Linked DNA regions of Bombyx mori. The protein of the gene in region 1 interacts with the protein of each later gene in a pairwise test. Links are inferred from orthologs where the notes say so. Each region holds a gene or a part of one and is shown on either strand. Other genes may lie near its edges.

Region 1 (4,615 bases):
CCCCGAGACCAAGACTCTTCTAGATGGCATTGTTTCTGAAAACGTTTGGGGTATCTTTTAAAAGTTTTCTTATCATTTTCTGTAGGATGGTAGAGATTATAATTCATAGACACAGCCCACTGAGCTGGCTATCTCAAACGACTAAACTAAGAAATAAGAACTCTTCTTACCAATTAGTGAGCGCTTCAGGGATTATTAATTGAATTAGTTTTTGTTGTTTTATATCAATAGATAATTGGAAATTTGTTTATATTTACATCAAGCGGCAGAGGGTCATAGAGTAGCTCTCCAGCGCCAGGAGGAGGCATAAACCGAGCCCATTCCCAGCACCAGCCCCGTCCGGCTACGGACTGCACACTGTAGCATGATCTACGCACACCACACTCTAATATTCCACCATCTATAATCAAAATGTTTTCTTTAAATACAAATTATAAATTGGGCTATTCAGGTTGTCATTTGGGATAGCTCAGTGACCAATTAAGTCCCAATCACTGGACTAATTTCTACAATCCTTAATGACCGGTAATTTTTCATTTACACAAGTAGTAGTAAGTAAGTTCCGGTAGTTTTCACAAGTTCTAGACCTTATAAAAATGACTTTTACGATTTAATCTCACATTTATTATTTTAATTTTATTGTTTTCAACATTTTGAATAATTTAAGTAGTTTAGTAGTTAAGTAGTTATCATGGATATCAAAACTTGAATAAAACAACCAACTATTGTTTCCTAACTATCATTTGACGCAATGTACGTATCTACTCCAACTGGGGTTTGATTTCTACTAAATAAATAAGTACCACGACAGACGGAAGTGTGTGCTTGTGTCACATATGCTATGTTTCTTGTAACTTCTGAAAGCATTCGAAAGTTGTTGAAATTATTAAATTAAATAGATTTTTAGCATTTCATGAGTACATCTTGGTTTACAGGCATAAATATTTGTAAATTAAAAGTTAGTGACCTTGACCTAGAAGATACAGATTGTTTATCAAATAGGGCCTAATAAAAACCACGAGGACAGTACCTATTTGGTAGAGAAAAATATTTTAATATGTTTACTTCTGACAGAAATTCACATCTTTTGATATGTAATCAGCCTTATTATTTAATAGAATTCATATTACAGTCCCTTCTCTAAAATATAATTAAAGGGTCTCCAGGTAATTTCTTTTTTCTTAATGTTTAAGTGCTTTTTATTCCAAAAATATTTACTTGAAAACATATTTTTATATCAAAATGGTTATTCTAATTGAACGCTAACTAAAATTTTCAGCTTAATATAACCTTAATAGCACCTGTATAAGTGTATGCATGGCATACTCCTATAAATAATTTGTTATTAATCGGTACTCATGGCTAGAAGTTTAATTGTACTGTTATTATGTTATGTTATTAGTGTTTTGGGTGTTTAGCAGAGTCAGTCACAGTAAAGGAATAAATAATATAATAGCAATTGAACTCAGGTTTATGTAAATGTGTAATTACCAGGCGTCTCATTACTCTGTGTCAGGGTCAGCAAGTTAACATAATATCCCTTCAATGCTGGATCAGCATCAGCCAATACCACCCTGGTTAACTTCTTAGCATGAGCCCTTTCTAGGGTCCTTGTAACACTTGGCGTGTGTGGTAACCATTGACCATTTGACTGCCACTCCCATACTACAACGCAGTGGACTGAAGACATTGTTCATTCCATGTTGACTAGAAATCCAAAAAAATAATTTTATAAAACTGAACCAAAAGCAAAATCAATGTATATAATTAAATATAATTGTTAAATATAAAAACCCCATTCCAATCAATTAACAATTTAACATACAAATATTGATTAGTTATGAATATAGTTAGCTGATTACTGTCATTAGATCAAACAAGTTTCGTACCTAAGAAGGAAACAGTATCATATGTACTATATGAGTCGACTATTATCAAAGGTGGCAATCTGACTTTTGGACAATGATTGGTAAATCAGAAAAACGAATTATTGACTTTGTATTCCATTGGCAGTCACAAAACTCTTCGGAACGACATCTTAGATAAATAACAGGTTAACTATTAACCTTTATTTAATGCAGGTTTTGAACCGTATTCTTTGAAGGAGACGATTATATTCAAATAAATCTGTATTGACATATCAATAAAAATTTTTTGTCCAAATGTACAGATTGCCGCCTTTGATAATAGACGACTCATATAGTCTTTTAAATATTTTAAATGATACAATAAAATAGTCAAAATGGCATGTTAATACCATGAGTGCATATGAAGACACTACTAGAGAAGTTAAAGTTCTGGAATGATATTCCTTCATTAAGAAGTTGTTCGTGAACATGCATTAAGTATTTCCTTATAATAATTGGTACTGGTGTAAAAATACATTAGGCAGTTCATTTATTACGCGACGAAGACTTCATGTATGCAGTTGGATTATTTATTGTATTCCAATAAATTTTGCTTTAAAATTATGTTGATAAACAATTTAATACACTTTCTTACTGAAAAATATTACAATATTTTATACTTACAGGTCCAGTTCCACATTTGAAAATTATGATCTCAATAGAGCAATAAATTCAAAATTAAGATAACGAAGAAAGCTACAGGAATGCTAAACCAATTTGTTTGTTTGTTTCACAATCGCTACTGGTCATTTTCTATTCATATTTCTCAAACATACCCAAATTCATTTACATCAAAATTGCTTTTAAAGTGATACTAAATGTTGAATTGAGTGTACTATTTCCTGAATTAAGTAACATTTTTGTTCTAAGTCACTAATTTTAAAGATTAAATAAAATCGTTGCAATTCTGTACCTATGTACCAGTTTCAACATAGCTTCATAGCCCTGACGCTGTCGAATACTGTCAATGATTTGACAGTCTTGTATATTTCAAAAGCCGAAGGAGTATTCGTGCTAGCGTTAGTGTTAATGTCCGAGATTCTCTCGAGCCCGTGAGTGTGCTCAACCTATCCCTATTCCAATAACCTATGGCTATTCCAATAACGTTATGACGATTGGTGAGCCCCGTTGGCCTACCCAAAGCTGTTGAAAGCCCACGGTTTTTTCATACCTAATTGCTTAGGTAGGGAAAAAAGTCTGAAAACGAAAATAGTAAATTGAAGTTGTCACAGCCAGAGTCTTGACCGTATGAGCGAAGTTTCTTTTGCATCTTTAATTGAACCACCAAATTAAAATAAAGCATCGATCAATTTTAATCAAATATGTGCAGAATCTGCAGAATCCAAGTCACATTTTAATGTTTTAAAAAGTACCTGCATCGAAGTTCGTTCGTACCTGCATCGAATTGCAGATACACAAACATTGATACATGCATACTATTGAAAAAAAATCACACATATCTCGCAATGAAGTAGGAAACCTAATAGGTCTATGATATCTCGTTATGGCGTTTTTACAACGTAAGTAGGTAGATCAGATATTTTTGTTGACAGTATGAATAACACATTTCATTTTAAATCGTACACAGCTATTAAGACGAAATTACAATTGACAAAATGACATTATGATAACAACATACTTTATCTCATTACATTGAGTAATTTACGTGAACTTAACTTTCTAATTAATCATTTACTCATCGATAATTTACTGGTCCTTTGTACATTAGTGTCCAACGCGAATTAATGCGATATTTATGACCAGAACGAGTGGCGTGAGACGAGCTTCCGAAGCTTTATGAAACCGCTCGAAACTTATGATTGATTCCATTCGAGTGAGCTGCTTAGAGGTTACCAAATAGTGATCAAATCTCTTGTCTGTAAATTACTTTGATGATCATCCAAACTAACAATGGACCACTATAAAATGAAAAATGAGAAATATAATGATCTTAAGGTCTACTTGTCACACTTGATGCTTTTCATTTCTTTTAAGTAACACTGATTTGCAAAATGTTGTATAATAGGACAACAAAATGTTGTACAAATATTAAATCTGGTCATTAAATGGATTGTTCAAACTGAGTGATATAAAATTATGAATACCATTGTTGACATTATGTTTGTTGGAAAAGTCATATTATTAACAATGTATAATAATATAATATAATAATATAGGTGTTACTTGCCTGGAGATATGTCAAAAAATGTGTTGTTTACATGAGCACCAGGCTCATCACAAACCAGGAGAAGTGGGGATTGCTCATGAGGTGCATAACATCTGCTCACAGCAATGATACTGAATGACTATCACAACTGCTCTGACAAGAGTGATATGACAAGGAATAGGAATACATTACATAATGTGAAAAAGTCTACACAATTAATTTTAAGAATTGATTATAAATGTTAAAAAAACACAAAAACTAAGAACTACAGTGTAAAATTACCTATTTATATATCCTTAAAAAATGTGTTGAATTTTCTATTTATTTCTACAGACAAGGGTCGGGCCGCCAATCATTTCAACCTCGAGATGGATTCTGCAGTATCTGATGAGGTAAATCTAGAAAATATGACTCAGAATATTAGATCTCATAATTTATGTTATTGCTTACGGTGCAAAATAAGAGCTATGTTAGAAGCTATAGTATTGTCTAGGACACCACCAGAGTATTATTACCTTACCTTATAGTTACTTTCATAATG
Region 2 (4,488 bases), on another chromosome or scaffold:
GGTACAAACGATTCAGTCATTTTCATTACGAAGTTTTACGAGCACTCAGAGCTCACACATACGTCACTTTCCGAGGATCTGGTCATATTGAAAACCTCTTTGAATTATAAGTCTCACGTCTTTTTCAATTACGTGACTAAGGATGCATACTCTCGGATACACTGTTTCAGTATTTTTTTACACACTTTATATTAGCTTCACTTGTATGTATGTTTGTTTGTAACTGACTCTTTTAGACGCGATTTTGACCCACTTTAAACGGCCAGATTTCATTCAAACTTTGTAGATTTATCGAGGACCGATGACAATACACTAATTTGATAAGATTATTCCATTATTCAATTTGCAAAATAAGATTTTTGCCAATTTATATAATTTTTATCTATAGTCGATAAGGCAGGAATTGATGTTATTAATAGTTTTAAAAGTACGCTTTATATAAAATTCAACTAAAAAATAGAAAATAAATTTTAACATTATTTTTTTATTGCTTAGATGTGTGGACGAGCTCACAGCCCACTTGGTGTTAAGTGGTTACTGGAGCCCATAGACATCTACGACGTAAATGCGCCACCCACCTTGAGATATAAGTTCTAAGGTCTCAAGTATAGTCACAACGGCTGCCCCACCCTCCAAACCGAAACGCATTACTGCTTCACGGCAGAAATTGGCGGGGCGGTGGTACCTACCCGTGCGGACTCACAAGAGGTCTTACCACCAGTAATTACGCAAATTATAATTTTGCGGGTTTGATTTTTATTACACGATGTTATTCCTTCACCGTGGAAGTCAATCGTCAACATTGGTTAAGTACGTATTTCATTAGAAAAATCGGTACCCGCCTGCGGGAATCGTACATTGGTGTCGCTACATACGAATGCACCGGACGTCTTATCCTTTAGGCGACGACGACTAAAATTGATTTTTAAGATATTTACGCGACATTGACGAATCCGAAGCTACGACGGCTTTTTAAGATATTATTGAAATAATAATTCTTCTACTCATATCTGTCAGAAAAATATTTATAACTGAAATGGTTAATAACGATTTTGTTTACAGACAGTCCTCTGTACAGGGGAAACAAACGACAAACAATGATGCTCGCATGCACTTCAAGATCGTGGGCCACACGTCAGGCATCATACCGCAGCTGGCTGTTTTCCTGGAGAAGCTGGGATGACACTCATTAGATTACACATAAAATAGGCGCAGCTTGGAGGCGACAATTTGCAAGACTGTCCATTAGCTGTATCATGGTTCTGTTACATTACAACCATCAAATTATAGGCCTCAAAGCTGTATTAAGGAAAGTTGGTGTTTTTCGTTCATTTGAGTCCGAGCCACAACTAATTAAGAATTATTATACATTATTATTATTATTACTTATTTCTTTGGATATATTATTTTTGTGTTCAGTTTACAGTATTGAACACTTGACTTAATAAAACAAAAAATAATTAATTACTACAAGCAATCATGACTAAAGGAAAAAAAAATGCTTTAGCTTTTAGTCTTGATATGTACCTTAGATCCTTTTTTAATTTTATGTGTAATAGTTTATGCTAACAAATGTACAATCATCACAAATTATTTCCACCTTAAACTAATTAATGAAAGTGTATCACTTTATTTTGAATTTTAAAAATGCATGACTTCAGGATTGCCGGAAAAAACAGCATTTAAATTTTTGTTACTTGTAACAAAATTAAACCATAAAGTATTTTCGATAATTATGAATTTTCTTTAGTTCTATAACTATGTTGCATTCACCGACAAATTCACCGTCAATTATGAGACTGACATGAGACCTTATTTGACTATATAAAGTGGAGTCAATGTGTTTAAAGATTATACAAAATATGCTTCACTATGCAAATATGCATGTATTATTTTTGGGCCAATGTTAGTCTTTTAAAATGCAGTATTTTATGATTATACAATATGAATATTTGAGAATTATCATAGGATATTTCTTAATGTGAGGAGTTAACTTTAGCCAGGAACTGGGATAACAGTTTAAAAATAAGATGGAAGTGTGAAGGTAGTTTGAAAAAATTGTATTTAGAATCTATTCAATCTTCAATTTATATTTGTAAAATTTTTGATTTCATAAAATCATACAACTCGATTTATGTTTGGTCTCTACAGATTTATTTATGGTAGGCTGCGGCTTGGCTCTGCCCCTGGCATTGCTGACGTCCATGAGCGACGGTGACCACTTACCATCAGGTGGGCCGTATGCTCATCTGCCTACAAAGGCAATAAAAAAAAATTAAGTTTGATAAATATGACGTACTTACTTGACTTCTTTGGAAACAGGTAGGTGATTGATTGCAATTATTGTTATATTTCAAACTTCACCTATTTAAACAATAGTTCAAATCTAAGTAAATTTAATATTCGACCGTTTATTTATTTTAAAATTACATAAAACTTTTTAAACGATGCAAACACGAAAACCAGTACCACGTGAACCTAAGCGGATTAAAATTAACAACAAATGTACGCAAGCAGGTACTTACATCTGAGAGTAAAGTTCCTCGTAGCAAAGCTTTACTACAACTTTTACGTCACACACTAAAAACGCAGATTTTACTGATAAGTCTCGCTGACACTGAAAATATTGTTTCTTTTTTTTGGTATTTATACATCTAACAAAAACTTGGGTACACCATGGTGTGGAACGTAAAACGCATTAAATTTGTATTAGGCTACTTCGTGTACTACCTTCCACTTCGTAGTACCACTATATCCATCCAGTCACACATCACATTACTTGAGCAAGCATAGCTCGTTTGATCACAGTAGATATACTGATATAGCATCAGGAATGTGTCATTTTCGGCTACATTCACGAACGCAAAGCAGACTTACTTCGACATTTAGCTGACTGATATTATTATTATTTTTAATTTATGGCCTGGTATCTGGACCTTTAGGCCAAAGCTAGCTGACTGACTGACAAACTTTTAAAGTTGCCAATGCCAATTTTGAAGTGTTAAACGAGTGAAAAATGAAACAGCTTTAGTAATATTAAAAGGATATGAAAAATCGACTAACCAATTTTAAAAAAGGAGAAAATACGCACAACTCAAATGAATTAACAGACTGGTTAACAAGATGTGTTACTGATAGACAGTGGCTTGGTTGGCATTGACTATACAGCCTTTGTGATATTCCTGATATTCACAATGAAAACAGAACGATAACAGTCTTTTAAAAAATGTATTTTAAGTAAGTACTGTGATTTTTATGAGAAACTTTCATGCTTTTTGTATAAACCTACTAGTACTATTACTATCAACCCAGAAACACCTGGTGATAAAACCTGAGCTCACATTAATTCTCGAGAGTTTTCGCTCAGATCACTGGAGCTCTTCACCAGATTAGAACCCCGTAAGCTCTCTTACTCGCTCGGAGAATCTAGTATAACTCCTCGAGGCTACTAGAATAGGCAGGAAATAAAAGTTTAAGTTTTTTTGTAGGAGGGCAAGGTGTCAAATTGTACGACTTGTTTTAAAATAGTGTTTTTCTAGGTTCCAACATCTAATAATCACGGCGTATTCACTATTAAGTATCTGTAAATGTGTAAATCAAACTTAATTATTAAATGTAGCATCTCTGGTTCTCTCTCTTAAACCCAACTCTTAGTAGATTCCTCCAATTTTCCTGATACGCTATTTCTTTCTAAGCTATCCCATTCAACGACTACCATATTGCTTAATCTCATCTCAAATAATTTCATTCTGATTCATTTCATTTCCCATTCTACAACCTATAGCTTCGCCATTTTCTGACAACAGATTTGCTGGCTTGTCTAATAAACCAATTAAATTACCTGCTGAGAGTATAAACAGAATGTTAGACTTTTTGGCGAGAATGCGTGGAGCGTGTGTAAAATTTTTGGTTTTGTTAACTTGGTGTTTCTTCAGGTTCTAATGTGTAGTAACTGTATTATATTAACTATTTAGCATCTGTGAAAATGACAAAATGTTGGAAATTTGAAGTCGTTCGTCAATTTTGACATAGCTGTTCAGGTTCTTCGAAAAAGTCTACCGAAGTCTTAGCAGATCATCACCATTTTACTAAGACTTTATTACAGAAGATGGGCATCTCGTTTTACTTAATTTCATCCCAATTTATTACAGTCTCAAATAAATCAACTTCACTTCGTTTCGTTTCATATCAATTCTCATATAATAAAAAATAAAAAGATCAGGCTATAGTCTGATACTGTTGCCTTTTCTGTTTGAAAAATGGAACTACACCACTACTGACATAATTCTGTCAATGTCAATGTACAGTTGACAAAATGGTACAAAACAAAGTTAACAGCAACATAAACTGACGTGTACTATTGCAAATAATATTGAATAAGATAATTAAATGTTTATTTGAACATTAAATAATGTTAGAAACGGAAAGACTAATTGATAATTCCGCGCAACCAACGACAAGTGCGGAACAGAGTTCAACTGAGACAGC

What was found.
Region 2: the proteins of protein deltex (region 1) and beta-arrestin-1-like interact in a two-hybrid assay, tested with the Drosophila melanogaster proteins (2 studies listed by BioGRID). The link is inferred for Bombyx mori from reciprocal best matches to the Drosophila melanogaster genes dx and krz.

Annotation. Positions count from the first base shown.
Region 1 is NC_085114.1:16,022,157-16,026,771, forward strand, and holds the start of protein deltex, read right to left. Parts: upstream 3,010-4,615; 5' UTR 2,821-3,009; exon of another isoform or gene 2,532-2,820; intron 1,708-2,531; 5' UTR 1,691-1,707; coding exon 1,492-1,690; intron 401-1,491; coding exon 258-400; intron 36-257; coding exon 1-35. Other genes in the region: uncharacterized protein LOC101741377, read left to right, coding at 3,337-3,370, 3,404-3,427, 4,408-4,466.
Region 2 is NC_085111.1:15,956,923-15,961,410, forward strand, and holds the start of beta-arrestin-1-like, read right to left. Parts: upstream 2,967-4,488; 5' UTR 2,526-2,966; intron 2,365-2,525; exon of another isoform or gene 2,304-2,364; intron 1-2,303. Other genes in the region: protein FAM8A1, read left to right, coding at 4,412-4,488.